Linked DNA regions of Sus scrofa. The protein of the gene in region 1 interacts with the protein of each later gene in a pairwise test. Links are inferred from orthologs where the notes say so. Each region holds a gene or a part of one and is shown in the gene's direction. Other genes may lie near its edges. The genes, in order: GABPB1, LMO1, IL16, TDRD7 and melanoma-associated antigen B18-like.

Evidence for each region.
Region 2: the proteins of GABPB1 (region 1) and LMO1 interact in binary tests that used the Homo sapiens proteins (3 or more experiments, as listed by UniProt). The two-hybrid records come from large-scale screens. The link is inferred for Sus scrofa from reciprocal best matches to the Homo sapiens genes GABPB1 and LMO1.
Region 3: the proteins of GABPB1 (region 1) and IL16 interact in binary tests that used the Homo sapiens proteins (3 or more experiments, as listed by UniProt). The two-hybrid records come from large-scale screens. The link is inferred for Sus scrofa from reciprocal best matches to the Homo sapiens genes GABPB1 and IL16.
Region 4: the proteins of GABPB1 (region 1) and TDRD7 interact in binary tests that used the Homo sapiens proteins (3 or more experiments, as listed by UniProt). The two-hybrid records come from large-scale screens. The link is inferred for Sus scrofa from reciprocal best matches to the Homo sapiens genes GABPB1 and TDRD7.
Region 5: the proteins of GABPB1 (region 1) and melanoma-associated antigen B18-like interact in binary tests that used the Homo sapiens proteins (3 or more experiments, as listed by UniProt). The two-hybrid records come from large-scale screens. The link is inferred for Sus scrofa from reciprocal best matches to the Homo sapiens genes GABPB1 and MAGEB18.

Annotation. Positions count from the first base shown.
Region 1 is NC_010443.5:121,476,005-121,481,749, forward strand, and holds part of GABPB1 (GA-binding protein subunit beta-1), read left to right. Parts: intron 1-2,331; coding exon 2,332-2,517; intron 2,518-5,743; coding exon 5,744-5,745.
Region 2 is NC_010451.4:1,076,383-1,082,127, forward strand, and holds part of LMO1 (rhombotin-1), read left to right. Parts: intron 1-1,224; coding exon 1,225-1,438; intron 1,439-3,762; coding exon 3,763-3,888; intron 3,889-5,745. UniProt on the Homo sapiens protein: May be involved in gene regulation within neural lineage cells potentially by direct DNA binding or by binding to other transcription factors.
Region 3 is NC_010449.5:50,098,152-50,103,851, forward strand, and holds the end of IL16 (pro-interleukin-16), read left to right. Parts: intron 1-619; coding exon 620-878; intron 879-1,106; coding exon 1,107-1,232; intron 1,233-3,714; coding exon 3,715-3,908; 3' UTR 3,909-4,195; downstream 4,196-5,700. UniProt on the Homo sapiens protein: Interleukin-16 stimulates a migratory response in CD4+ lymphocytes, monocytes, and eosinophils. Primes CD4+ T-cells for IL-2 and IL-15 responsiveness. Also induces T-lymphocyte expression of interleukin 2 receptor. Ligand for CD4.
Region 4 is NC_010443.5:239,283,211-239,289,669, forward strand, and holds the start of TDRD7 (tudor domain-containing protein 7), read left to right. Parts: upstream 1-2,504; 5' UTR 2,505-2,598; intron 2,599-6,459. UniProt on the Homo sapiens protein: Component of specific cytoplasmic RNA granules involved in post-transcriptional regulation of specific genes: probably acts by binding to specific mRNAs and regulating their translation.
Region 5 is NC_010461.5:22,080,196-22,085,238, forward strand, and holds melanoma-associated antigen B18-like, read left to right. Parts: upstream 1-2,721; 5' UTR 2,722-2,816; coding exon 2,817-3,845; downstream 3,846-5,043. UniProt on the Homo sapiens protein: May enhance ubiquitin ligase activity of RING-type zinc finger-containing E3 ubiquitin-protein ligases. Proposed to act through recruitment and/or stabilization of the Ubl-conjugating enzyme (E2) at the E3:substrate complex.

The DNA of each region.
Region 1 (5,745 bases):
CTAGGACAGTAATACTGCCTCACTTGTTCTTTATGACATTGAAATCTTTGTAGTCTAAGCCATTTGTCTGCAGGATCACCCTGGATTCACTAGTTTTCTTTCCTTTCTTTCTTTTTTTTGTTTTGTTTTATTTTGTTTTGTTTTTTAGGGCCATCCGCATGGCATATGGAAATTCCCAGGCTAGAGGTTGAATCTGAGCTGTAGCTGCTGGCCTGCACCACAGCCGCAGAAACGGTGGATCCTTAACCTGAGCAAGGCCAGGGATCGAACCCATGTCCTCATAGGTACTAGTTAGTTTCGTTACTGCTAAGCTACAATGGGAACTCCTCATTAGTTTCTTAATAATTAGATTCAGGCCAAACATTTCCAGGAAGAACAGAGGTGGTATTTTGTAATCTCTCATTGCATCACATCAGACGGCACATAATGTCAGGCCATCCTTGTAATGAACACTTGGTGCGAGTGGTGACTGCCAGGTTGTTATGGGTACATCCTCCCTTTTGTAACTACTACAAATTTTTGGTGTGATACTTTGAGAACATTTGTTTGGCAAAAGCATATCACCAGTGTTTTTAACATCCATTGGTGATGCTTGCCTGAATCATTTATTACATTGGGAAATTACAATGATAATTTTTCTCATTTTGTTAATTAGATGTAATTCTTCTCTATCAAGAAGATCTTTGCTCTTTCCCCCTTTCTCTCCTTTTTCATGACGTATTATCACAGATAAATGGATTTTTAAAAATTGAGTGTGTTATTGGCAGTTCCTTAGGTTAAGAACCTGACTAGTATCCATGAAAATGTGGGTTTGATCCCTGGCCTCACTCAGTGTGTTAAGGATCCAGTGTTACTGCAAGCTCTGGTATAGGTTGCAGATGTGGCTTGAATCTGGCATTGCTGTGGCTGTGGTGTAGGCTGGCAGCTCTAGCTCTGATTCCACCCCTGGCCTGGGAACTTCCATATGCTGCAGGTATGCCCCTAAAACAAAATGAAACAAAACTTCAGTGTGTTATAATCCACTGCTGTGATTGTTCCTTTTGATGCTTTTTTATTGACATGTAATGGACACATGGAAAAGTGCATTGTTCGTAAATGTACAATTTAGTGATCGTTTCTGTGTAATCATTGCTCAGTTCATAAACGGAGAGTACACAATATGTATTTTGTGTCTGATTTACATCACTCAGCATTATTTTTGTCAATTTATCCATGTTTTGCATTTAGTCACTTTAATTGCTGTGTAGTATTCCAGTGCATCTACCACAGTTTATTTCTTCATTCTACTTTTGACAAATATATGATTTATTCATGTTTTTGAGTAAAGCTTCTATAAATGTTCCTGTGTCTGTCCTTTGGGATCAATAGTTGACCATAGGATTGCCTTTGGGAGAAGATTTTGGCAGTTTCTTTACCTCAGCAAGACCAGAAGTGCCGTTTTCAGCTGCCAGAATCTTCTCTGAACCCCTCATAAAGTATCAAGAGCATAGTTTGAGATTTTATTTATGTAAATGTTAATATATTGCATCATTCACTAGCCTACAGTACCAGATCTATATGCCACTTACTGTCAAGGCAACCCTTGTTCACACAGTCCAGAAGGGAAATACTCTTGGTTCTACTTGAAAAATACAAATTTCCATATTTTTTTGGATATGGAAATGTTTATTAACTCATATGTAAGTGTGAATGGAATATAACCACATACAGTATTTTTCTCTTTTGTGGAATTTTGTTCAGCTGGTGTAACTTGTCATGTCTGTGACCTTAGGAGGTTTTAAAAGTTTCATACTTCATAGAACTAAATTAAGATAGTTTATTTATTTATCTGTTTATTTTTTGCCTTTTTTTTTTTCCTTAGGACTGCATATGTGTCATATGGAAGTTCTCAGGCTAGGGGTCAAAGTGGAGCTGAAGCTACTGGCCTACACCACAGCCTCAGCAAAGCAGAATCTGAGCTATGTCCGTGACCTGCATCACAGCTGATGGCAATGCTGGATTCTTAACCCACTGAGCGAGGCCAGGCTTCGAATCTGCATCCTCATGGATACTAGTTGGGTTCATTACTGCTGAGCCGCAATGGGAACCCCCGAAGATAGTTTATTTAATTAAAATGTTGATGCATAGATAGTTGAAATTCATTGTAAATTGTAGGACTTGTAGTCCACTGTTTACATAGATATGTACAGCACCCCTGGAAGCTGAATTTAAAAACCATGTAAAAGCTTTTCTGAATAAGAAAGAGGACAGCAAAGATAGCAGAACAAAAATAAACTTCTGTTCATACTTTTATATATGTTCATTGATTTTTACTTTTTTTTTTTTTTCCAGTAGTGGCTACAGAGGAAGTAGTTACTGCAGAATCTGTGGATGGTGCAATTCAGCAAGTAGTTAGTTCAGGGGGTCAACAGGTCATCACGATAGTTACAGATGGAATTCAGCTTGGAAATTTGCACTCCATTCCAACCAGTGGAATAGGTCAGCCCATCATTGTGACCATGCCAGATGGACAACAAGGTTGGTAGGAGGCATTTACATAAAGTTTGTGTTCGTTTTTAATTCTCAGGAAATTGTGACATGTTTTTCAAAGCCTTCATTTTTGCCTTAAATAATGTTTTAGTAACCTTTTACAACAGACTTAATTGCCTAATTTTATTTGTTCAGGCCACTCTTAAATTTGCCTGCTTGCTCTGAGTGTATACTAGGTGGAAAGAAGAATTGGCCCCAAAGTATCCTGGTTGGAAAATGAGCTTAAATAAATAATTCAAAGTCAGCATTGGACACTACTTTCCTAAGCCATTTAATGTAATTCAAATATCATACCAACTTTTAAAAATACCATGTTAGAAAAGGCTACTTACTTAAAAAGAAGTTGGACTTAGCACTTAGAGAAGGAACATGGTGGCAACTTTTAGCAGCTTTGTTGATAATTATCCCATTTTTTTTTCCTTTTGAGTAATGAAACTAGTAATAAGAGGGACATAACATAAGCCCCAGTTACATTTTCAATGAAACTAAAAGGCTGAGAAAATGGCACAATTCCATATTTTAAGTGCTGCCAAAAGCATCTAAGGTCTAAACCAGGGCAGGACAACCCTCAGAGAAACCCACAATCATGCATCAAGAAAAGAGGATGAGCTCGGAAATCAGCAATAAATATGTACTCCCAGCAAGACAGGGCCCAGTTTGAGCAGGAAGGCCGTCAAGTAGGGTGAAAATAGACTGGAGCGTGAAAGCTGGAGGAAGCAGAAAGAGAAGCAGAAAGTTACTGTCTGAGCAAGGTTTCCCTTGCACCCAGTACCACCTCCCCCTCACCCAAAAAGTACATGCACATACATCCTTTTAGAAAATGACTAGGATTGCAGAGACTGAGTCTCTTCATGGCCTGTGAAAGACTTGGGAACGGGAATGCCTAGAGGTAGAAGTTCTCCTAAATCAGGTTTGGTTTAAGTTGACAGTGGAGGTATGGCCCTGCAGAGAGACCAGGTGTCAAGGAAAGATTTTGTCCCTGTAGCAGTGGAGGAGGAAACCCTTGACCCATAAAGCCTGGGAGGCATTTCTCTCCTGCTCTGCAGAAATCTGCTCATGGTCCAAGGTTTGGATCAAGCCCAGGTACTTTCACATAGCTTTAAAGAACTAATTTTAATTATATGGAAGAGAGGAAACTTCCAAAGTATTTGCATTAAGCAAATATAACATTGTTTCTAAAACCTGAGATTATACATGAACTCTAATCTCATTGATGAACAAATGGAAAGAAACCTAAGTTTTTGGATAGGATGAGTCACTATCATGAAGCTCTCAATGCCTCCTGAGTTAATTGATAAATGTAATGTGATATGAAAAAAAAAGACTAGGGCTATCATAACAAAATACCACAGCCTGGGTGACTTAAACCACAGAATTTAATCTTCTCACAGTTCTGGAAGCTGGAAGTCCAAGATCAAGGTGTTGGCAGGTTTGGTTTCTTGAGGTCTTTCTCCTTAGCTGCAGATAGCTGCCTTCTGCTTTGTCCTCACATAATCTTCCCTCAGTCTGTGTTTGTTGTCTGTGTCCTAAGCTCTTAGAAAGACACCAGGCATACTGGATTAGGACCCACCCAGATGACCTTATTTTACTTCTTCACTTCTTTAAAGGTCCTATCTTCAAATATATCCTGAAATACTGGGGATTAGGACTTAAACATTTGAGGGGGGCATAATTCAGGCCATTGTAAAGACCAGTCTTTTTTTGGAAATAGCCAAACAGATTCTCAAGTTTGTATTGATGGGGTGGGGCGAGGAGGGAGGGAAGAATAAGAAACACTGCAAAAGAAGAGCAATGAGAGGAACATACTGAATATTAAAATAAATCTCAACCTCCAAAATTTAAGAATGTATAACTGGCATATGACAGTATGACTTTGTAGACAGTCCAATGAAACAGATAAAAGGTTCTCGTTTCTTGGGTAAATTTATAAGTGTAATGTGATATAAGTTAAAAGAAATACTGTAATTCTCAGTATTTTTTTTTTTTGGTTTTTTTTTTTTAATTTTTAAAAATTATAGTTGATTTACATTGTCGTGCCAATTTTAGATGTACAGCAAAGTGACCCATTCACACACACACACACACACACACACACACACACACATTCCCTTTCTTATATTAGCTTCCATCATGGTCTGTCCCAAGAGACTAGATCCCTGTGCTGTATAGTAGGAGCTCACTGTTTATCCATTCTAAATGTAATAGCTTGCATCTACTAATCCCAAACTACCAGAATATTTTTAATGTTTTTAATTACATTGTACTAAGTGATAGTTTTACTAATTTTTTTTCATTTGTTTACATTTATAAAGGACAGTAGGAGAGCTTGGAATGTTTTGACAAAAAACTTTAAAGCCTATGAGGCAGTTTTGATTTTCCTCATTATTAAGATTGCTTTGCATGGTCATCTTGCACAGTCATTTTTATGTTCCGCCAGTGCTGTGCAAAGCAAGGATAGCCTCTTGCTCTCTCTATATTTACATTTATGTAAAGAGATATTAAAAATTGGGACTAAGTCAACAACCCAATGGGAAAACAAGCAAAGTTTGCAAACAGAGTTCCTAATGGTATATCCATACAGTAAAATATAATGCAGATAAATTAGAAATGTTGTACAAAGACACAATGGAATACTATGATACAGCCATAAAAAAAAAAATCCCATAAAAAAAAATAATGCAGCTAAATTAAAGAAAGCTCTCTGTATAGAAGAATGATACCCTAGCTATATGGAGTGAAAAAAAGACACAGTGTATCTTTTGTATGTATGTTTGAATGTATGTTTTATATGTATGCTACCTTTTGTGTAATAGAGAAAAAATACAGTATGTATTCATGTTTGTTTTTATGTAGTTGGACACAAGAACCATATAAGAGAAACCAATAAAAGTGATTATCTGTGTTAGCAGAGATAGAGTTAGACCTCTTAAAATATTCTTGTTAAATATTATTTCAGTTTTGAGCCATATGAATGAATATGTTGTCTATAAAAATTTGAAAGAATAAGTAGCTACTTTAAACAATATAGTTTTTAGTAAAAAGGCAAGAAAGTGAAGACAAAGCTAGACATTTCTTATAATAAGCAAATCAGTATTTTGAAATTCTTTTAGAAAATATTTTAGATGAGTTGCGTCAACAGTCTCAAGACTAGAATCTTTAATTCTTCTAAACCTATCTGAAAATGAAGTAATATGTACATTTTTTTTCATTTTAGTA
Region 2 (5,745 bases), on another chromosome or scaffold:
GGGGGAGGGAGGCCGGGGATGGGGGCCGAACCCAGAGCCCAGGGGACACGGTGGGCACAGGAGGAGGGCGGCCTCCAGCGGCTGGAAAACCGAGGACGCAGGCAGGAGCGTGCTGTTCCCTCCAGGGTGACCCCCAGTGTGCTTGGGCCTGCGTCAGGGAACGAGCACCCCAACCAACCCCACTGCCTTTAGAGGGGCTCTGAGACCCCTCTCACAGGCGGCTGCCGTCCAGCCAGGCTCGAGACTGCCCCCGCCCCCCCGTGCTTCCCCCCAAGCCTTGTCTTCACATGAGGACACACACAGGGACGTCCAGGCCCCCGGGACATCTGCTCCTACCTCCTTCTCGGCGGCTCCTCCCCGTGGCCCTGGGAGGGGGACCAGGGGCCTGTGCCTCTGCACACACCTGTGCCCGTGCCTGCAGGCTGTTCCCGTGGGCACGGGGCGCTTGCCTGTGGGAGTTCTGCCCCTCCCTCCAGGCAAGGCCACACTGAGATACCTGCCCTTGTACCTTGCGACCTTCTTGTCTGTTGGGAAGCTCACCTGGGCCTGAGGTTCTTATCCTGGCAGGACAAGCAAGGGTGCAGAGGCAGGCGGGAACCCTCCCTCCCTCAGGCCAGGGCAGGTAGGGAGCAGGAGCAACCGGGCTTCTGCACCTCCCAGCCCCAGCCCCAGCCCCAGCCCACCCGGGGGTTTATCGGGGCGGGGGGGGCATCTCCCTTTCTTCCTGACACCTGCACGGCTCTGTGTGAACAGACCAAGAGGCTGTAGCCTCATGTGTTGGGTTAATCTAGTCAAGTACACAGCAGTGGGAGCACGTCTCCAGGTGGCAGAAAGATCTGGAAGGCCTAATGGACCATCAGCCCCCTGATGAGGTTCTGTTTTAGGGCTGCAGAAAAGAGCCCGTGGGCTGGTGGCTGCGTGGGGAGGCCCGGGCCTGCTGGGGATCACAGGGCCCAGGGCACAGTGGCTGGATGGAGAGCCGGACGTGGGGGGCCAGGCCTTGGGGCTCGCTGCTTGCCTGCAGCAGAGCAGACGCGGGCTCCAGCCCTGCGGAGGGCCCCTCACCGGGTGGGGAGGAGGCCGGACCGGGGCCAGGGAACGTGATTGCTGGGGAGACAGGGCGGCTCCTGGGAGCCCCTGCCCTGGAGGCGGCCGCAGAATGGGCCCCGAGGGGGGAGCCCCAGGGCCCACCGTGCCCATCTGTCTGTCGCCTGTCCCCCGCAGGCGTGCCGATGCTCTCGGTCCAGCCCAAAGGGAAGCAGAAGGGCTGCGCGGGCTGCAACCGCAAGATCAAAGACCGCTACCTGCTGAAGGCGCTGGACAAGTACTGGCACGAGGACTGCCTCAAGTGCGCCTGCTGCGACTGCCGCCTGGGCGAGGTGGGCTCCACCCTGTACACCAAGGCCAACCTCATCCTGTGCCGGCGCGACTACCTGAGGTGGGCCCCCCCCCCCGCCCCTCCCCTCCGTGCCGCCCCCTGCCCAGGGCGGTGCGGCTCCGCCCACTCCAGCCCGGGCCCCGCCCCTCGGGCCCAGTGCCCGCCCCACCCCAGACGGGCCTCGGTGCCCATGGGCACCGGAGAAGCTTCCCAGGGCAGGAGTCTGCCGCTTCCCAGAATCCAGGAAGGGGCCCCCTCGGAGGGGCCTCCAGGAGCAGGGGGGTGGGAAGCCCTGACTTCCCGGACCCCTCTGGCCTGAAGATGCCCCGACTCCTCCACCGCCCTGGCCGGGAGCCCGGCGGGGAGCCAGACCCGAGCAGAAGAGCCTCTGACCTTGGGGCTTAGAGACCACACTGGGGACCAGTTCTGAGCTTGGCTTCTTAGTGCCCCCGCCTCAGTCTACCCCTTGGTGACTGGTGAAAAGGCCAGCACTTGAACCCTACCTCGGTTCCTCAGAGCTCCAGCTGCCCCTGCCCCGCAGCCTGGACCCTTTCCCGGGCCGCCTCACCCATGACCCCCTCGGGCCGAGCATGACATCAGCAAGGCTGGAAGGAGGCCACAAAGCAGGGGCCTTGGCTGAGACCCAGCGTCTGCATTTGGCTCCCTGCAGGCTGCTGGGTGGGGCGGGGCCTGGTGGGGGCGGAGGCCCCCTGCCTTAATAAGGAGGTGGGCCCAGGGATTCAGGGGCTCCCTTGGCCCAGGACTGGGGGCGGGGGAGTTAGCAACACAGGCTCCCCTCTTTCCCCAGGATTTACCTGCCCGCTCCTTCTCTTTTAAAACTTCTGCCTTTTGCAGGAGTTTGTTTTATTATTTTAAATGGTGCTGAAAACCAGGAGGAGTGATTCAGGGCTCCTGGCGGCGCTGGAGGAGAGATGCCGAGGTCAGGGGAGAGGTCACCCACCTGCTTCTGGGGACTTGCCCTCGGCAGCCTGGGAGGGGCCTCCAAGTCCAAGGTTTAGGACCTCACCGGGAGGCTGAACCTGCCAGGTTGAGGGGAGGATGGCAGGCCGTCTGACGAGTCCACAGGACCTGGAGAGGGAGGACTGCCATGCAGGCTGGGCCCGTCCATAGAGCTCAAGCACCCACAAGCCTCCCGGGCCCTGCCAGCTCCTGGAGCCTGAAATATTTTCCTGGGCTCTGGCAGAGGCCAAGGAATGCCCTTGGGGCCAGGTAGGGCAGTGGGCCGGGGTGGGGCTGGGGCTTCCTGGAGCTGCTCAGCCCAGAGAATGGCCGTCCAGAGCCTGCCCCTCTGCAGCCACTGGACTGGTGGTAAGAAAGGCCTTTCTTGGCAGGCAGATGCTGTGGCCCGGCCTTTGTCTGCCTTAATCTGAGCCACCAGGCAGCTCAGGCTGATGAATAATGGAGCCGAGCTCATCTGCAGGTGCCTGCGTTTGAGCTCCGGACAAATCAGGGATTAGGGGGCCTCGCGCCTGCCTCTCAAGGCCCTCGCCTCACTTGGGGCTTCCTCTGCCACCGTACAGAAAGGGAGCAGACCGCTGGCGCATCCAGCCAAGGGCGGGCCTGTGTGGGGAGGGAGGAGCCCTCTGTCCTTGGAACTTTGCAGTTGGCAACTACGAGGAGGTGCCAGTCGTCCTTGGAAGGTCCTTTTGGCATCTGTTCTGTTTTAGAAGCATCTTTGAACGGGATCGTCTAGTCCAACAGTCCCACTTTAAAGAAGGATAAACTGAGGTCCAAGAAAAGGGAAAAGGGAGAGACGTCACAGCCTGAGTTCCTGAAATAGTACCAGAAAAAGGCCTCTGGTACCAGAAAAAGGACCAATGACTTGGTCTGTGAGAAGCCCCTAGAGCAGTGCCTGGCACGTAGCAGGCAGCGTCTGGGCATTTGCAGAAGGGCCGTGACTGAGTGTTTAGTTTTCACAAGCCTGCGAAGGATGTATTTAGGTCCCCATTTTATAGTTGAAGTGAGTGAGGCTCAGAGAGACCCAGTGACTTGCCTGAGGACACACAGCCCACAATAGGCAGACTGCCTTTAAATTCAGGCTTGTGTGAATCTGGAGTCCTTAGCCTGGGCTCTTTGGGGAGCCGCCGAGGGAGCTTGCTTGAGGGACCCTAGTGGGAGCCTGAGGACAGGAGGGCGAGTCAACTCAAGGCCCGCCCAGGCCTCCTCCTTGCGAGGATGTGCTGATCTGAAGCCGGACCTCTTAGCGGGATTAGACCCTTCCGTCTGTCTTCCTCCCCTCTCGCCCAGGCCCACCTACTGAACCGCAGGGGTTGGGGGCAGGTGGGGCCCCGGCTGGAGGCAACTCCCCTGCCCTCCCGCCAGCCCCCGCAGGCCCCTGAGCTCTCCGCGCCCTCCCTCTGCAGGCTCTTTGGCACCACGGGAAACTGTGCCGCCTGCAGCAAGTTGATCCCAGCCTTCGAGATGGTGATGAGGGCCCGGGACAACGTCTACCACCTCGACTGCTTCGCCTGCCAGCTCTGCAACCAGAGGTGGGTGGTGGGCTGCCACAGGCCCGATGCACTCAGCAGACCCCGCTGCCAGCTGCTGCCAGGTCTCTTGTGCTGCGGAGGCAGGCATGCAAACATGGGTTCTCTGTGTGCGTGTTGCCGGGAGCATGTATGTGCATGTGTGCATTTTATGTACACGTGGGCCTGGTAGCCAGGTATGTGCACTCCAGTACCGTGTGTGCCCATGAGTAGAGCACAGCTCCACACAGACGTAACAGACAGGGCCGTGCATGAGCCATGCGCATTGTGTCGTGGCCATGCGTGCATTTTTACACGTCACGTGCAAGGGGTCTGTGTGTGCTGTCTGCAGGATGGGTGAGTTTGCCTGTGCACGCGTGTTTCTGAATGTACGTGTACAAGAGCCCTGCGTGTGCTACCTATGGATACACGTAGGTGTGTTCTCGTGAGAAGGGGCTCCCGGACCTGGAGGGTGAAATAGCCTTTAGAATTTCGCTCCTGTGATTCTTGTTCCAGCCCAGCCCCCTCTCTGGTGTGTTGGCCCCAGCTTACTGTGCCCCCAGCCCTGTGGGAGGCCCCGGGGATCTGAGGAGCCAGAGCCCTTTAGCCCTGGCTGGGGCTGAGCCCCAGAAGGCAGGCCCTTTTGTCAGGAGCCCCCAGGTCAGGAAGGAGCTCATGCAAGCGTTGCCAGAGGGTGAGGTCCAGAGGGACCTACCTAAGCTGGTTTGGAGGAAGCTCTGCCCCGACCACCGCCAGGAGGGCTCGGTGAAGTTGCAGCGCCACCTGGTGGTTGAAAGAGGATCGGCTGGGCCTGGGCCTGTCACCCTGGGGTCCCACGAAAAGCCTTAGCTACCCTGGGGACATCTTTGGGGTAAGGGCTGAACGCTCCAGGACTTGAAGAGGACCGGGAAGGGCAGGGGGCAGGATAGGGCTTTCTTTGGGCAGAACAGAAGCGGGGGTCAGGGTCACCTCCTCCTGAAAGGTAGTTGGGAAAACCTCAGATTCTGTTCAGAGAAGAGTGCCCTTAACTGAGCCACTTCCTTACCTTGGAGAGGGGAACAGAGGATTGGAAAAGTCAGCCAGTTTATTCCCCTCCTCCACCTCCTCCTCTCCCTCCTCCTCTCCCTCCTCCACCTCCTCCACTCCCCCTCCTCCCTCTCCCTCCTCCACCTCCTCCACTCCCCCTCCCCCCCTCTCCCCCCCCCCCTCCCCTCCCCCTCCTCCCTCCCCTCCCCTCCTCCTCTCCTCCCTCCCCTCCTCCTCTCCCTCCCCCTCCTCCCCTCCCCCTCCCTCCTCCACCCTCCTCCCTCCTCCCCTCCTCCTCTCCCTCCCCCCTCCTCCACCTCCCCCTCCTCCTCTCCCTCCTCCACCTCCTCCTCTCCTCCTCCACCTCCTCCTCCCCCTCCCCCTCCCCTCCTCCCCCCTCCTCCCCCCCCCCCCCCCCCCCCCCCCCCCCCCCCCCCCCCCCCCCCCCCCCCCCCCCCCCCCCCCCCCCCCCCCCCCCCCCCCCCCCCCCCCCCCCCCCCCCCCCCCCCCCCCTCCACCTCCTCCTCTCCCTCCTCCACCTCCTCCACTCCCCCTCCTCCACTCCCCCTCCTCCATCTCCCTCCTCCACCTCCTCCACTCCCCCTCCTCCACTCCCTCCTGTCTCCTCCTCTCCCTCCTCCCTCCCTCCTCCTCCCTCTCCCTCCCCTCCTCCCTCTCCTCCTCTCCCTCCTCCCTCTCCCTCCTCTCTGTCTCCTCCTCCCCCTTGTCCATCTCCTCCTCTCCCTCCTCCACCTCCTCCTCTCCCTCCTCCGTCTCTTCCTCTCCCTCCTCCCTCTCCTCCTCTCCCTCCTCCACCTCCTCCACTCCCCCTCCTCCACCTCCTCCTCTCCCTCC
Region 3 (5,700 bases), on another chromosome or scaffold:
GTATGTGTGACTGGGTCACCTTGCTGTACAGTTGAAAACCGACAGAACAGGGGCGTTCCCGTGGTGGCGCAGTGGTTAACGAATCCGACTAGGAACCATGAGGTTGCGGGTTCGGTCCCTGCCCTTGCTCAGTGGGTTAAGGATCTGGCGTTGCCGTGAGCTGTGGTGTAGGTTGCAGACGTGGCTCGGATCCCGCATTGCTATGGCTCTGGCGTAGGCTGGTGGCTACAGCTCCGATTCGACCCCTAGCCTGGGAACCTCCATATGCAGTGGGAGCGGCCCAAGAAATGGCAAAAAGACAAAAAAATATATATATATAAAATAAATTAAAAAAAAAAGAAAACTGACAGAACACTGTAAACCAGCTATAATGGAAAAAATAAAAATCATTTAAAATTTAAAAAAAGCCAAGGCTCTGTGTGTGTGTGTGTGTGTGTGTGTGTGTGTGTGTGTAAATAAAATCTCCTGGGAGATATATATAGATATGTAGATATAGATATAGATATCTAGTATATATATAGTACCTTCTGGGTTTGACTGACTGGTTTGAATCTTGCTCCAGCAAGAATCTGGATCCAGCATGGTGAGTCCTGGGTCCTGACGTCTTTGCTTTGCTCAGGTTCACAGGGTGTTCCCTAATGGGTTGGCCTCCCAGGAAGGGACTATTCAGAAGGGCAATGAAGTGCTTTCCATCAACGGCAAGTCTCTCAAAGGGGCCACACACAACGATGCCCTGGCCATCCTGCGTCAAGCTCGGGACCCCAGACAAGCCGTGATTGTCACAAGGAAGCCAACCCTGGAGGCCTCGCCTGACCTCAACTCCTCCACAGATTCTGCAGCTTCCGTCTCTGTGGCCAGTGACATCTCCATAGACTCCAGTGAGTTCTCTGTGCCTGATGGGAGCCCCGTGGACCCTCTCATCTTCAGATACGTGAGGGAAGCTGCTGGGTGACATGAGGGCTGCCTTGCATGCTGCTCAGATGTGTCTGGGTTCATCTGTGCACGGGCCCAAGTTCACTGGCCGCATCAGCCAGGCTTGCGTGATGTGCCCTGTCTGTAGGCTGGAGAAGAGGGCGTCCCTAACAAAACCCCTGTGTTTTTCTCAGCAGCAGAGGCCACAGTCTGCACGGTGACCCTGGAGAAGACCTCTGCGGGGCTGGGCTTCAGCCTGGAAGGAGGGAAGGGCTCCCTGCACGGAGACAAGCCTCTGACGGTTAACAGGATCTTCAGAGGTAGGCTGTGTGTCTGCCTCTTGTCATTCTCTCCAGCTGCGGGTGTCAGGCCAGGCCCCCGCAAGGCTTCTGGGCACCCTCTAGGCCATGTCAGTTTCTCACAGTCCCAGGCCCTTTGGGAAGGCAGGCAGGCCTAGTTAAGGACATGACTTTATTTATTTATTTTTTTGGTCTTTTTAGGGCCACACCCACGGCATATGGGGTTCCCAGGCTAGGGGTCTAATCGGAGCTCCAGCTGCCGGCCTACACCAGGGCCACAGCCACACCAGATCCAAGCTGCATCTGCCACCACCTACAAAACAGCTCCCGGAAATGCTGGATCTTTAACCCACTGAGCAAGGCCAGGGATCGAACCCGCAACCTCATGGTTCCTAGTTGGATTTGTTTCTGCTGCGCCACGACGGGAACTCCAGGACTCGACTTTCTTTTTTCACCTGTTCCCTTTGGCTCAGACATCCCCTAATCCCTCTGTTTTTCTCGGTGTTTGTAAGTGATCGAGCACTGGGCTTGGGTCAGCTTGGCAGCACTGGGACTTGGTGAGGCAAGTGGGATGCTCTCCTGGGCACAGAATTGAAGCGGGCACCAAAAAACTGTCATCAACACACATACAACATACATACTATTTCAATGCAATATTTTAAAAACATCAAAATTAATTCAAAAAGCCCGTCATAGGGTGTTCCCGTCACAGCTTAATGGCAACAAACCCAGCTAGCATCCATGAGAAAGCAGGTTTGATCCCTGGCCTCACTCAGTGGGTTAAGGATCTGGTGTTGCTGTGAGCTGTGGTGTAGCTCCGATTGGACCCCTAGCCTGGGAACTAGGGTGCGGCCCTAAACAGACAAATAAACAAACAAACAAATACATCATGAACAAGATATCACGTTTTAAATACAGAGTCTGACTTTTCACTTGCACGACTCGGCCTCAGTCACTTCACCCTACTCCTGGGCCCTTCAGCTCCTACTTTTAATCAAAACTTTGAGATTTATTCTTCATGGATTGGGGAGCAAGCCAGTCCATAGTGGGGGATCACTTGGATTTTCCTGCGAAAATCATGAATGGCCCATACTCTCACAGAGAATCACTCCTGATTCTTCACTGCTTCTCAAGCTGGACCCCCGGAGTCACAGAGCACAGAAGTGTAGACAGGGAGTCATGGCTCAGGTTCTAGTCCCAGCTCTGCTTCTAACTTGCTGAGTGACCATTGCCTTCTAGGCCTGGGGCACCATATCTGTAAAAAGAGGTGCAGGTGTGTGTCTGAGAGCTCTTAGTACTGAGACCCAAGTGCTCTCCTAGCTCTGCTTCCTGTCCCCCTGGAAGCCCTTCTGCAGACTGGTTTTGTTAGCAGGAGATATACTACAGCTGCTGAAACCCAGGGAGTGGACCCAGGCTCAGGGGGAGGCTCCCCAGGGATCCTTGTTGATTCTAATTCCGGGAACAATTCTAACTTTTGAAGGTCAGCTTGGAAGGAGCATAGGGTTCAAAGTCAAGAGACCTGGCTTCTAGCGTCAGTTCTGCCACTAATGGCAGCATGACCTTGGACAAGTCCCTTCACCATCTTGGTCCCATTTGCTCACATGGGGATTAACCTCTGAGCTGCAGGGTGATATGGTACCAGGGTATGTGAGTTCTGGAGTCAGAAAGTCTGGGTTCAAATCCAGGCCCCTCCACTCAGCAGCTTTGAAGCTTGTATGAGTTATTAGAATCCTTGGTTTCCTCCCATGGAAAAAGGGAATACAAATACTAGGTACCTCAGAGGATTATTGCCATAAATGCAAGGTGTAAACACAAGGACTATTCTATATATAATTGCCCAATATAGTTTAGCTATTTTTCTCATCATCATCATTACCATTATTTTTTACTCTTATTCAATACCCGTGAATATCATTGTGTCAAAGAGACGGGAGACTTTTCTTTCAAGGTAAATAGCCAAATAGCATTCTTTCCCCAAGTAGCTTTGAAAGAGTGGGAGCCGTGTGTGGTTATGTCTTTACCTGGACTCACGGGTCTTCTCCAGGCCATTCAGAGCCAACAGTGCTTGAGGATTGTTTCATGAAAATCCCACCAGCTCTGGTCCAACACCACTCAATGCCTGCTGACCTCATTAGAAGTGGAGAGACCACATGGAGAGGAGTGGGGTGTTAGGATGGTGTCCAAGGAAGCTTGGAGGAGCACTCAGTTCCCAGAGTCCCCTAGGCCCTGTGGATGGCTCCCCAACCAGGCTCTGGCTTGGAGACGCCTGCAACCTCCCTTCTTTGCAGACAGCACAGGGCTCACTTTTCCCAGGGGCCGCAGAGAGCTGGAGCCCAGTGTGCCATCCTTGAAGGCACACCATTTGAGGAGGTGCTTCACCAAAACAAGCTGCAGAGGGATGGGTGCCAGCTCCCTTCTGAGCTGACCCGGGTCCTCAGAGACCAAGGGTAACTCCTCATTCTCTTGCCACTAGTGGAACCCATTGTGTCCTCTCTCTTCTCAGGGGCGGCCTCAGAACAGAATGAGACGATCCAGCCAGGAGATGAGATCTTACACTTGGCTGGCACTGCCGTGCAGGGCCTCACACGGTTCGAAGCCTGGAACATCATCAAGGCCTTGCCTGATGGACCTGTCACGATTGTCATCAGGAGGAAAAGCCTCCAGTCCAAGGGGACCACAGGGGCTGGAGACCCCTAGGCCGAGTGCCAGTGCTGATGCCAAAGCCAACAGCACACAGCTCCCCACAACCGCTCATTCTCAGGGTCACTGTAACCCCACCTGATGGGGGAAAGCATAGGTGTGTTTCCTGGTGGCTACCGGGTCCAGACCTTCTGGGATACTACCCAGCAAGAGGGTTGTCCCAGATGTTACGGCAGAGTCACACTGGGGTGGCTGATACAGACTACAGGCTATGTATAGAGAGAGCTTCATGATAATATTGTGGTGCTGTAAATAAAATGGATCTATTTCAATTTGATTGGAAATCCATGTTTTGCTTTGCAGATTTTCCAAGTCCTCTCATGGTGCAATGACCCACCCCAAACAGCAGCCTTTGTTTTTCTCATGACTCTGCACTGGTGGCAGGCCTGGAGGGGACCACTCATCCTGCTCCACATGGCATCAGCTGGAGCAACTCAAAGGCCAGGGGTTGGAACCACCCACAGGGTCACTCACCCACACATGGGGCTGCTGATGTTGGCTGTTGGCTGGGAGCTCAGCTGGAGCTCTTGGCCGGGACCCTTGCTGGGGGCCCCTCCCTGTGTCCTGGGCTTCCTCACAACACAGCGGCTGGGCGTCCCCTGAGAGTGTGAGAGCCAGGGAGGAGCTGCATCCTTTTCAGGACCTTGCCTCCAAAGTCCATCGCTTCTGCTGTGTTCGAGCAGTCAGAGCTGGTGCAAGCCTGCCTAGCTTTAGGGAAAAGGGAAAGATGGCTGGGGCTATTTTTGGAAAATACAATCCATCACACAAAACACCTACAAAACTGTTTGTCTTTGGGTTGGAGAAGTGCTCCTAGCAAGGGTGGTACCTGGTGGCAGAGCAAGGGAGTCCAGGTGAAACTCCATGTGTGCTTAGCCATGTCCGCAGGATGGACTGGCATGAGTCTGAGAGGGCAAGATGCAGTGGCTGCCATTTACCTCCCACGTGCCGAGTACCATGTTGGCATTAAGCAGACACGGTCTTTAGTAACCACAGCTGTGTCTACAGAGCATGGTACTGTCCCACTGAATAGATGAGGGCACTGAGGCCCACATCTACTGAGGCAACAGGCAACCTGTCCAGCTGGTAAGTGATATGGAGAGGGCAAGTCTTTTCTTCTGTGGTTTTGAAACTGACAGCATGAATGGCCTGAACCCATCCAGAACACAGACTTGGACTTGAACCCACGTGCTGGGACTCCAACACAGCTTAAACCCAGATTGGGACTTGAACCCACAGTTTTCAATTAGAATCACTCACCCTGTGTCTGGACTCACTGAGGTTCCAGTTCTTCATGCCTCCGCACAGAAGGAATTCAGTGAGAGACAAAGTGATAGGCAAGAAACAGATTTATTAGGATAGGATGCTTGTGAGAGGTGCAAGTGGGCAGGCACGGAAGCTCTGCTCCAAGGATCCAGTGGGCTACAGTTTTATCATCTAGGGGAGTAGGGGTTGGAAAAGCCTTCCTCTTCCTTTCTGGGCACAGTAGCTCCTCCTTCGTATCAGGTAAAGTGTGTATTTAAATCAGCAGAAGGGCGGTCTTCAAACTCTTGCCCTTGGTCTGAATCTGAATGCGGGCCTCATCCCATCCCCCACCTAATGACCTGAGACAATTCTCGCACCTCCACTAGTCAAGCCTGCCTTGTTCTGATGGCTTTTTTGAGCAATTTATTTACTTACAGTGATCTCCCAATGTCCCCTAAGTTTCCCTCATTATCTGTGGTCCTTTATTGGGACTTCTACAACCACCTGTACCTACTCCATCCTTATCAGTTTGGCAGAGACTAACAGA
Region 4 (6,459 bases), about 120 Mb from region 1:
TATACTACTGATACACGTGACAACCTGGAGATTCTCAAAAGCACCATGCTAAGGGAAAGAAGCCAGATACAAAGAACTGCGTATTGTCCACGTGACATTTTCAAAAAAGCAAAGCTATGGTGACGGAAATCAGATTAGTGGTTGCTGGGGGCTGGAGATGGTAGGGGGGAATTAACTGTAAAGAGGCAGGAGGGATCTTTTTGAAACAATGGATTAGTTCAATGGTTCCATTGTGGTGGTGGACACATGATTGAATACATTTGTCAAATTCATTAACCTGTACACTTAAAATATTTATTATATGTAAACTATTAATCAATGCAACTGATTTTTAAAAAAACTTACTGCAGAGCATCATTTATCCTTATAGATAGGCCAGTCCAAACATGGACTCCTTTTGCAAGGGCCTCAGACTTGGGGTCAACTCACATCATTTCATGATTTATTTTACATATTGGACTTGGGAGTTTGTCCTAATTTCCTACTCCAACCGGCCATCTTTCAATTGGGAGCCGCTTTTTACATCTTTCCAATCTTAAATGTGAAGCCAGGGGATGTATGAGCACTGCAGAGTCCAAATTGAATCTGGTTGTGTATTAGGTTTATTAAGTCCAATGCAGTGTTTGGAGCAGAATGGAGGGGAGAGAAGGAAAAGAGATATCTGAAATAGACTGAAATACAGCAGTGGGGATGAAAAAATTGCCAAGGAGAGACATTTGGGCAGATTTAGTCAGGGACTAGATGTGGGCATAAAAAAGAGAGCAGTGTTCAGAGAAGACGTTGAACGGTTTCCCATTGCCTTTGAAAAAAAGCCCAAACTCCTAAGCATGGCTATCAGGCCTTCCAGAGTCTGTTTCCAATCTCCATCTTCATTGCCCACTACCTCTTTTCACTGAATCTAAAGCTCCTCAAGCACAGGCTTGTGCCTTAACATAGTAGGCACTCTATTAATAGCAGTTGTTCTGTACAGGGTAGTTGTATGTACAAATATACAAATGTCCATTCGCCTACTGATGGAGGTCTGTGTTATTCTCCTGTTTGGCTGTTACAAACAAAACTGCTATGAATATTCTTGTCCAGGTCATTATGTGGACGTATGTTTTCATTTCCCTTGGGTAAATGCTGGGAATGGAATAGCTGGGTCATATGGTAGGTTTCATACACCCATACAATGGAATACTACTCAGAAATGAAAAGACTTGAACTCTTGGTGCACACAGCAATATGGATGAATCTCAACATGCTTCTGCTGAGTGAAAGAGGCTGGATTCCCCCCCCCCCAAAAAAGACAGCACATATATGATTCTGTTTATATAAAATTCTAGAAAAAACAAACTAATCTATAGCTACAGAAAACAAAGCTGCAGTTGATAAGGCAAGGGACAGAGGCACATGAGGTGAGGATTATAAACGTGCATGAGAAAACTCTTTTGGGGAGACAGATATGTTCATTATTTTTACAGCAGTGCTAGTTTCACAGCTGTATACACATGTCAAAACATCATAGTGTACATTTTAAACATGGGTAGCATGTCAATTATACTTTAATAAAGCTGTAAAAAATACTGTTTGAATAAATAGTAGGCCCTCAGTAAAGGCATATAGAATGAATGCAGCAAAGTGTTTATAGTTGGTTTAAGGAATACAAACCAATATGCCCAATAAATGTTGGTAGAATTAATGTGCAGAAAAAAAAGTGAATACTAGGTGTTCAGTAATTTTATAACAAATGAATGAATAAATGAATTTGAGAAATGTTTATGTCAGCCTACCCTGTGCCAGGGACTATTCTTGGTTCTGGGAATAGATTACGGAACAAAACAAAGATCCCTGAGCTCATAGAGTTTTAATCTGAGGAGGACAGTAGACAACGAAAAGGTAAGTAAAACACATAGAGTGTGCTACCCGGGTGCTAAGGAGAGAGAAAGGTGAGAAGGCGTTGGGACAGGGAATGTTAGCGAAGGAGAAGACATTTTTGAGAAGGTGGCTCCTCCTCGAAAGGGTAACCCTTGAGAAAAGACCGAAAGGAAATGAGCGGACCAGGTGGGTGTCTGAGAGAATAAAAAGTAACTGCCCCAGAAACGAAGAAAAGACTGAGCGAGAGCTGAATGAGACATCTGACGGGTACGCGAATGCAATAGCAGGCGCACACATGTGCTGGTGAAGTGGGCTGGGTCCCGGGTCTTCCCGGCCCGCCCGTTCTTGCATCGTCCACGTGGAGGCGCTCCTGCGCCCGCCCTGCCGTCGTCTTCCGCCGACGGCCCGTGCGTGGGCACGCGCAGAAACCGCTAGGCGGCGTCGGTTTCCCTTCCCACGCGCGGACGCCGGCGTGGGCGGACGCGGCCGGGGTGCCCGCGCGTGCGCAGAGCCGAAGCCGGGCTGCCCTCGGGGAGGGGCGGAGCGGGGCGGGGCCGAGCAGGGCGGGGCGGGGGCTTGAGGTGATTCCCGAGCCGCGGCGGCGGCGGCGGCGGCAGCGGCGGCTCCGGCCGTGCTGGGGAAACCGAAAGTGGGCGGTGGCTGCGGCTGTGGCCCTGGCGGAGACGGCGGCGAGAGCCGGGCCCAGAGGCGCGGGGACGGGCCGCAGGCCCCCAGAACGAGGTGAGCGCAGGTCCCGCCGGCTGCAGAAACGACAGGTGCCGGGCGAGGTTTGGCGAGGTTTCAGGCTGGCACAACGCACCTGGGTCGCTAGCGGAACAGTGGCCCGAGCGGGACTCGAATGGACCCCGGGCCTCTTCCCTGCAGCCGCAGAGGATGCCCCGGTCTCCACCCAGGAAAGCGGGCTGGGCTCCAGGGAGTTGGAGTTCCAGAGCGTTGTGTTGTAAATCTTTGATGGGACCCCTCCCCCGACCGCTCGGGGCTGTCTGGGCGTTCACCCCTGGGGAGTCGGACGGACCCCTGACGCCTGGGAAACTCAGTGCAGTGGGGAAATGCAGCAGGGGGGTGTGGACAGGGGGCGGGAGATGATGACCAGGAAGTGGTTCCTGGTACCGGCGCAGGGGCCCCCAGCCGCCCGCTTGGAGCAAGGGATAGCCGGGCCCCCTGGCTATTGAACTCCCGTATTTTACACCGTGAACTTTAAGTTCCTTAAAGGCACGGACCTCTCTTTACAGACCAGCCCTGCAAGCCGCTTAAGTAATGTAGGACACAAATAACTATCCGCTTCTCTTAAACCGCGAGCACCTGGTGGGTACAGAGCACCAAGTAAGGAGGGAAATATGAATCCAAGAGTGAGTTGTCTCTTTACTTTCGCCAGAACCCCCAACAGGGTCAGGTTCTCAGCCTCAGTTTAAGGGCTCGGAGCCCGCATGACTGTTCTGCTCAGATCTCCTTGAGGGGGTAGGTGCAGTACATTTCCATACATAACCAAGGGCACCACTCACTCCCAAACAATTTCAAAGAACTGGAAAGGGAAACAGCGATGTTAGAAAACGTCTTGGCCCCAAAGATTCCCGAAAGCCACCCTACAAAACGAAAACAAAAATACCACTGATCTGGGTCATCCCTCCTTCCCCACTTTCGTGCAGGTGGAAAATTTGCTGAAAAGTGCCCTGCCTTGTGATAGATGACAATTTAATGACCGAAGTGAAAATTAGACCCAAGTCCCTATTCCCCATCTGCTTTGATGTGCTGGTGTTGCATACTGTGCATAGTGGGAGCTTTGCAGACTTGGCTTCTGGGCTTCTCCACTTCGTAATTGTGTAAATTGAACAAATTACATAGTGTTTTTGAGCCTGGCTTTCTGTTTATCAATTGGAAATACTTAACTTTGCAAGGCTTTTGTGAAATAACTACTGTAGTCCCTTTGACTCATAGTAATAAAGAAGTGTTAACTCTTTTCCTTCCACCAGACTTCCCATATTTTACATAATTGTGTTTCACTCTCTTGGAGGCAGGGACATAACTTTAAGTTCTGTCTATCATATAAATTGGACCATGGTGGAGGTTTCTGCACGTTCACTCAACTGCCATTCAGGGAGCATCATGAACTGTGCTGGTGCGGGAAATGGCTGTGGAGCCAACCGGGGTAGAACCTACATCCCCTGTGCCTCCCGTCCAGGGCCCTTTGCCAGCCCACAGCCTCCCTGTGTGCTAGAGAAACATAGTGAGACTGTGAAGTAGCACTTGGTGGTGCCTTCAGATTACAGCCCCTGTAGATTGGAAATGAAATGTAATCCCTGCTAATGCCCTTTTAAGTGTCCTAGTTGAACATGGCTGAATGAACTATTGTATTTTGTACCTAGAGATTTAACTCTTTGAAGGATGTCTCTTTAAGTTCTCAGTGCAGTACAGTCTAGTTAGAGACTTCATATGAATGTAAAGGAAAAATAGAATCCAACTCTTAAGTGCTGACTCTGTGAGCAAGTGCTATTTCTGAGAACCGAGATTTGACATAGAATGAATGCTTTGCTTCTGGGCAAAGCTTCAGGGTCAGCAGATACATACAAAACGGACAGAGGTTCCTTGGTGCTTGGAGTGAAATCTCATTTCATATCTATGTGAATTGGTTTTTTTCTTTCTTGATGGAAAACTACCTTTCTCCTCCCTGCTCCTGCCTTTGTGTTTTTAGAAGCTTCATTCTTTTCATTATTTCCCCTATTGGGCCAGTTTTTTACAAAATATTGCCTTTTATACAAACAATTTAAAGGCAGTTTGTCATTTTTAACTGAAAATATGTGTGAGGATGTATGGCAGTTAATGCTTCTGATCGGCACAAGACACTCAACGTGACCCCAGAGTAAACTCAGTATTTTAGCTCTGCTGCTTTGTCAACAGGAAGCACACCCATGATTTCCATCAGATCTTTGGACCCTATTTTGCCCTTGAAGGAAAACCAGGGAAAGTTGGAAACTGTGGATCTTGTCCATCCTCTTTTTCTTCCATATGAAAAAAGTGACTTAGAGACTTGCTCAGAGTCACACCTAATTAGAATCAGAACTGGCATTAAGACCCAAACTCCTAACTAAGCCACTTACGATCTCAGGGTTTTTTCCTCTGGCCTGTAGATTTATGGAAAGCCCTTATTTATTCATACTGTGTAATTAGTAATGCATGTATAATTTGGAGGTTGAAATTACAATAATAAAAAAAAGGAAGGAGTTCCCGTCGTGGCTTAGTGGTTAATGAATCCGACTAGGAACCATGAGGTTGCGGGTTTGACCCCTGGCCTTGCTCAGTGGGTTAAGGATCCGGCGTTGCCGTGAGCTGTGGTGTAGGTTGCAGAAGCGGCTCGGATCCCGAGTTGCTGTGGCTTTGGCAGAGGCCGTTGGCTATAGCTCCGATTAGACCCTAGCCTGGGAACTTCCATATGCCTTGGGAGCGGCCCAAGAAATGGCAAAAAGACAAAAAAAAAAAAAAAAAAAGAATAGGAAACAGCTCTCTGAAGTTACCCTGAGGGAGAATATCACTACCCGAGGGCATTAATAACTATCTTTCTTTTTAAGAAGAATTGATAAAGGAATAATTCAGGTGTAACAAATAGACTACAGTTGGAAAGAAAAGATAATATATTAAACTGTTGCAAGGTGAGAAATCACCAAAACTTTACCTCTCTGAGGCTCAGTTTATTGATTTTTTGTAATGAGGGATTTGGGATAGACTGGAGGATGCCTAAAATCTTTTCAGCACAGACATTCTGGGTTTTAGGGGCCTGGCTTAGTGCTACAGATAGTGTCTGCATGGAGAAGGGCAGCCATTTACCAGAAGTATGTGCCTTAAGGGAATAATAAAAATTGAGTAGCTGACTAAAGAAGGTAAGAGAGATTGCATGGTGATTTCAGTTTACCCTAACAATTCTTCCGATTTATTTGGGCTTTTAGTGCCACTCTTCAAATCGAATTTATAACACGAAAAGTGCAATGGGGAAGATGAGCCAAATAATGCAGCTGGAAATAGTTGAGAAAAGAGAAGCTGAGCGGAGAGAGCACAGATGGGAGGGAGATCAGCTTGGCTAAAGGTCTCTGGGCCTCAGGAGGGAGGAAGCTCCAGCTTCAGGAAGCACATCACATGCACATGACTGAGCCAGGGAGGACGAGCCAGTGGTAAAAGCAGGTATCTAGAGGACACCAAACCTGGCTCTTCAGAATAAGACTCTCCCAGAACCCTTTTCAGGGTCAGGTGTGTTAGAAATGTTGTGCATTTGCAAACTTCAGTTTTGAGTGTGAAAATTATTTTAGGCTGTTCACATTGTTTAAACCTTGCTTTCCTGCAGGTTGTCATTACTTTCCCCTATTCCTTGCCCCACTTTTTGTACTTCATTAACATTTGGGGGCACTCGTGATTAATTGTGTAGCAAAATAGAAAAGGAACAGTATAAAAGGATTGGATTTTTGCAGCAGTTGACAGGTCTTTTGGATTTGGGTGCCGCATCCTTAAATCACACTGTGTGGCAGATGCCCGTTTAAGGTCCCTTGAAGTACTAGTCACTAAGAATGCCCCAGGGCTGTTCCCTGTGTCCCCCAA
Region 5 (5,043 bases), on another chromosome or scaffold:
ATCTTCCTTGGAGAATTGTCTATTCAGGTCTTTTGCCCATTTTTCCATTGGGTTGTGCTAACAGCTGTTTTATAACCTAAGACACCTTACCCACAGTTTGAGTCTTTGCTACACAACATTCTATATTTCCAGGCTCTTTAACTTAGAGACATCCAAAAATGTTACCTACTCAAGAAGTAAATATTCACTCAAAAATCTAAATGTTTAATTTACTAGCAAGTGAAATGAGAAGTTGGAAAAATTATTTTAATAAATTGAAAAAACATACTAGCATATTTATTCAAACAAATCAGGTATTTTTGCACTGGCCACATTAGTGGAATCCTGATAAGAAGTCCATTAGGACAGTCCTATATTGAATAGGTCTGTGAACCCAGAAGAAGGAGTGCCACAATCTGTTTTTGTGTCTACATGCATACTACTTGCAAAATCCAAGTTAGAACTTATAAAGAAAAAAAAATAAATCTCAACTAGCATAATGATGGTAAACTATCTAGAAAGAGCAGAGAAACCATATCCCTTCAAAGAAAGCTGTCTTTGAATAAATCAAAGGAAAATTTTATATGTCTCCTAAAATTATAACTATCTTTAGGCACATATAATGTGTCATATGACACACACTAGGGTCTGAACACTGATTATTCCAAAGCTGCTCATTAATAGTCATAAATAACAGATGAATTATTCAGCCAGTTATTAACTGGTTTAGTTCTCTCAACTGGTTTAGCAAGATATTTCATTACTAAGATTATAAAATATATATAAAACAATTTTGAATGAAAGAATATTCTGATATTGATTAGACAAATAAAAATTTAGCTTTTTTTATCTCTTTCTATCTCTCTGTCTCTCTCTGTTTCTCTCTTTTGGCAGTAAAATAGGGCCACTGTAAGGCTGATCTCAAGAAAACAAAATGAAGGATAACAGAAAGTTCTACCTATAGATATTATATTTCAGCTAATAATTTGAGAAGGAATGATAGAATTAGAGAATTAAAACTCAGGAGCCTCTAATGGATTAATGGATGGCAGTGATGATCTTCAATGACTGCCAATATCACCACAAAGGAAACTACAGTCTATGTATCTTCTAATAGAATTGCAGTGTCACCTCTAGAATGGTTTGCCAACAAAGAGTATTGGCATTCGGCATGTTAACAGTCAGAAAAGACAAAGTATTTAACCATTGGCAGGAGTAAAGAACTTTTCATAAAAACTCAACACCAGTTCATGGTAATAACTTCTAGAAAACTTACATTAGAATGGAATTTTCATATGGTAAAATCAAGCGCAAACATATGTAAGTGTGAAATGTTAGAAACAGTCCCAATAAAGTCCAGAAGAGGGCAGAGAGGTATGGTACCAACTCTACTATTCAAACCTGGACTGGATTGCATGGCCAACATACAGTAATACACAGCATTACCAAAATAAAAATTATAAATAATGAAAGATGATATTCTAATTAAAAACACCAAAGAAACTGGCTGCCAAATATTAAAATATATAAGGAACTTAAGCAAGCTGGTACAGAAGATCACCACACCAAAACCAAGACTCTTTCCACACAAAACAAATAACTAATTAGAATATGTAATAGAAAATAACACCATTCAAAATAGCATTGATATCCCAAATACACCTAAAAAGAGAACTAACAAACTTGATCTTTATGGAAGCAAATAGAAAAAAAAAAATTACTGATGCACTAAGGTAAAAGAAGACTCAAATAGAACAATATTATGTTTATTTATGGTGAGTAGAATATTGTACAGATGTCAATTCTTCTTAAATTATTTACGGGCTTATGCCTTACCTGATAGGTTTCGCACTGAATCAGCAAGGAAGTAACCCAGCACCTACAAGGCATCAAGGTAAGACACTGAGTGAGGACTGAGTGAAGACTGAGTGAGGAACCCCCCAAATTAAGGGGCCACAAAGGGGCCCCTACTGTCAGTCCCATTAGACTCAGGTGCCCCCCTACTTCCTACCTGGGATTCTGAGTGAAATGAGAACCTTGGTCAGAGGCCAGCTGACTTATCTCAGGAGAGGAAGAAGTCCCAGGCCCTGTCAGGAGTCACGAAAAACTCCTTCCAGAGTTCTGCATGATTCCTCAGTCTCCCAGAACCGAGATAGAACTCCCCATAACCCCACCCCTGCTATAACTCCTGCTGGGAGGATGGGGTGGGCGTGGCAAGAAGTGCTCACCCTGATTTCTGCCACACCAGCCATGGAAACTTAGGCCTAGGTCTGAGGAGTGTGGTCCCATATCAGCAGAGGGAGGAGTTCCAGGATTGGACTGATGTCAAGGTGAGTAATCTTTGTTTGAACTGAAGGGACAGACTCCTCCCAGCACTGAGGTGTCCTCGCAAAGTCCCGCCATATTCTGACATGTTCCATCCCCACCCTTAACCCCAAGGGGCTCAAACAGGGCTGTTAGGCCCAATGCCCCTCCCCAACTCTCAGTGGGAGAATTTGTGGTGTGAGAAGCCCTGGTCTGAAGGGGCAGCCTCAAGTCAAGAGCAGGAGGAGTTAAAAGACTGGTCAGGAGCCAAGTTTAGTATACTGGGTTAGAACTGAGATCACAAGCCTCTGCAGATCAGAGGAGGTCCACAGAGTCTCACCACCCTTGTTTTGTGGTTTCCTAAAACAGTACCCCTAAGAAAATCAGCAAAGGCAGCTTTTCTTGGCAGCCAAGGTGGAAGAATCTCCCTGCTGAGGCTGTGCACACCATTTCTTTCTCTGTCTTCTAGGGCGACCTCTCCAAAAACCTAATTGCTTGAACAACTGTGCCTACTGTCCCTGACCAAAGTCATCATGCCTCGAGGACAGAAGAGTAAGCTCCGAGCCCGTGAGAAACGCCGCCAGGCCCGTGCTGAGACCCAGGGTCTGGAAGATGCTCAGGCTACTGCCGCAGCAGCAGGAGAGTCCCTGTCCCTGGTCCATGCTCTCACTGAGGACAGACCTCAGAATTTATCTGCTGCTGAGACACCTAGCACTCCTGAGGCGCCACAGGGAACCACCGATGCTAGTGCAGCTGTTTCATGCACCAATTCGGATGAAGGTACCAGCAGCCAAAAGGAGGAAAGCTCAAAATCCTCCAGGGGCACTGAGGGCTCACGCAGAGATCCTTTAAACAAGAAGGTGGTTTTGTTGGTACAGTTCCTGTTGCAAAAGTATCAAAAAAAAGAGCCAATTACGAAGGCAGACATGCTGAAGTTTGTTATTAAAAAGTACAAATATCATTTCAATGAGATCCTCAAGAGAGCCTCTGAGCACATGGAGCTGGCCTTTGGTGTTGATTTGAAGGAAGTGGATCCTACCAGGCACTGCTATGCCCTTGTCAGCAAACTAGACCTCACCTTTGATGGAACGATGAATGAAGAAGAGAACATGCCCAAGACTGGCCTTCTAATGATTGTACTGGGTGTGATCTTCATGAATGGCAAATGTGCCCCTGAAGAGGAGATCTGGGAAGTGCTGAATATGATGGGTGTATATGCTGAGAGGAAGCACTTCCTCTATGGGGATCCCAAGAAGGTTATCACTGAAGATTTGGTGCAGCTAAAGTACCTGGAGTACCGTCAGGTTCCTGACAGTGATCCTCCTCGATATGAGTTCCTATGGGGCCCAAGGGCACATGCTGAAACCAGCAAGATGAAAGTCCTGGAGTTTTTAGCCAAGGTTCATGATACTGTGCCCAGTGCATTCCCATCCTGGTACGAAGAGGCTCTGAGAGATGAGGAAGAAAGAGCCCAAGCCAGAGCTGCAGCCAGGGCTCGACTTGCGGCCATGGCCAGTGTGCGCTCCAGGGCCACAGCCAGCAACCTCTCCCATGCTAAGTGAAGTCCGAGGACAGTTCTTCACTTTTGGTTGAAAAGGTGTGGCAATGTTCTAATGGTGGAGGGCTAGGGTGGGACTTGAGAAGTATATCATCGTTGTATTCCTGTTATATATTGCTAACTTGGAATTTTACCTTTCTTTTTCTTTCTTTAGGTTGTATTTCGAATGATGAAATCTAAGAAATATTGTTTTCCTTGTGGAAAAAGAGCAGTAACATTTTAAGTGGGGGATGACCAGTGGGTCTGGAAAGAACACAGCGTATATCATCTTTGTGTTTCTGTTCTCTATGGTAAACTTATAGTTTAATCTTTTGCCTTCCTTTTCTTGTCCCTTCTTTTTTCTTTCCTCCCTCCCTCCTTCTCTCCCTTCCTTCCTGTCACTTTTTCTTTCCTTTGGTTATATTTTAAATGTTGTTTCTTTAATAGAAGGTAGAAATAATTGCAGAATCTAAATTTATTAATTATTTCAGTTACATATTTATTAGATTTAATTTAATAGATTTAAGGAGTTTTATTATTTTATAAAACAAATTGGGAAACCTTTCAAATTTACTGAACCAAAACAAACAAACAAAAAAAAAACCTGGCATGGTAATAGACATTTCTTTGGAAATGTGAAAAAAAAAAATGAGCAGTAAAATTGCTGGGATCAAAAAAAAGAGGAAAAAAGTAAAAAAAAAAAAAAAAAAAAAAAAAAAAAAAAAAAAAGTGCAGCTCTTGGTTTCCATTATCCACTTTAGTCTGTTGTTCTGTAAAAAATAAAAGATATGTACCTGGACTTGCTTAGCTTATTAAAGAATGTAAGAGAAATAAACTGTTTATAAACTCATGCTCACTGGCTCATTCTTCCCCAAATATTAAATGAGCATATGTTCTTTGAAAATTACTGTGTTAGAAATGGTGAAACTAGGATACAAAACACCACTGCCTTTAGAATTTTACAGCCAAGGAGCAGTAATCATATACAGAAGATGGTGAAATACCCTCTAATACCTAAAGGAGTCTTAAGAAGGAATAAGGAGGTGGAGTTCCCATTGTGGCGCAGTGGTTAACGAATCCAACTAGGAACCATGAGGTTGCAGGTTCGATCCCTGGCCTCGCTCAGTGGGTTAAGGATCCGGTGTTGCCGTGAGCTGTGGTGTAGTTTGCAGACGCGGCTCAGATCCTGAGTTGCTGTGGCTCTGGCATAGGCCGGCGGCTAT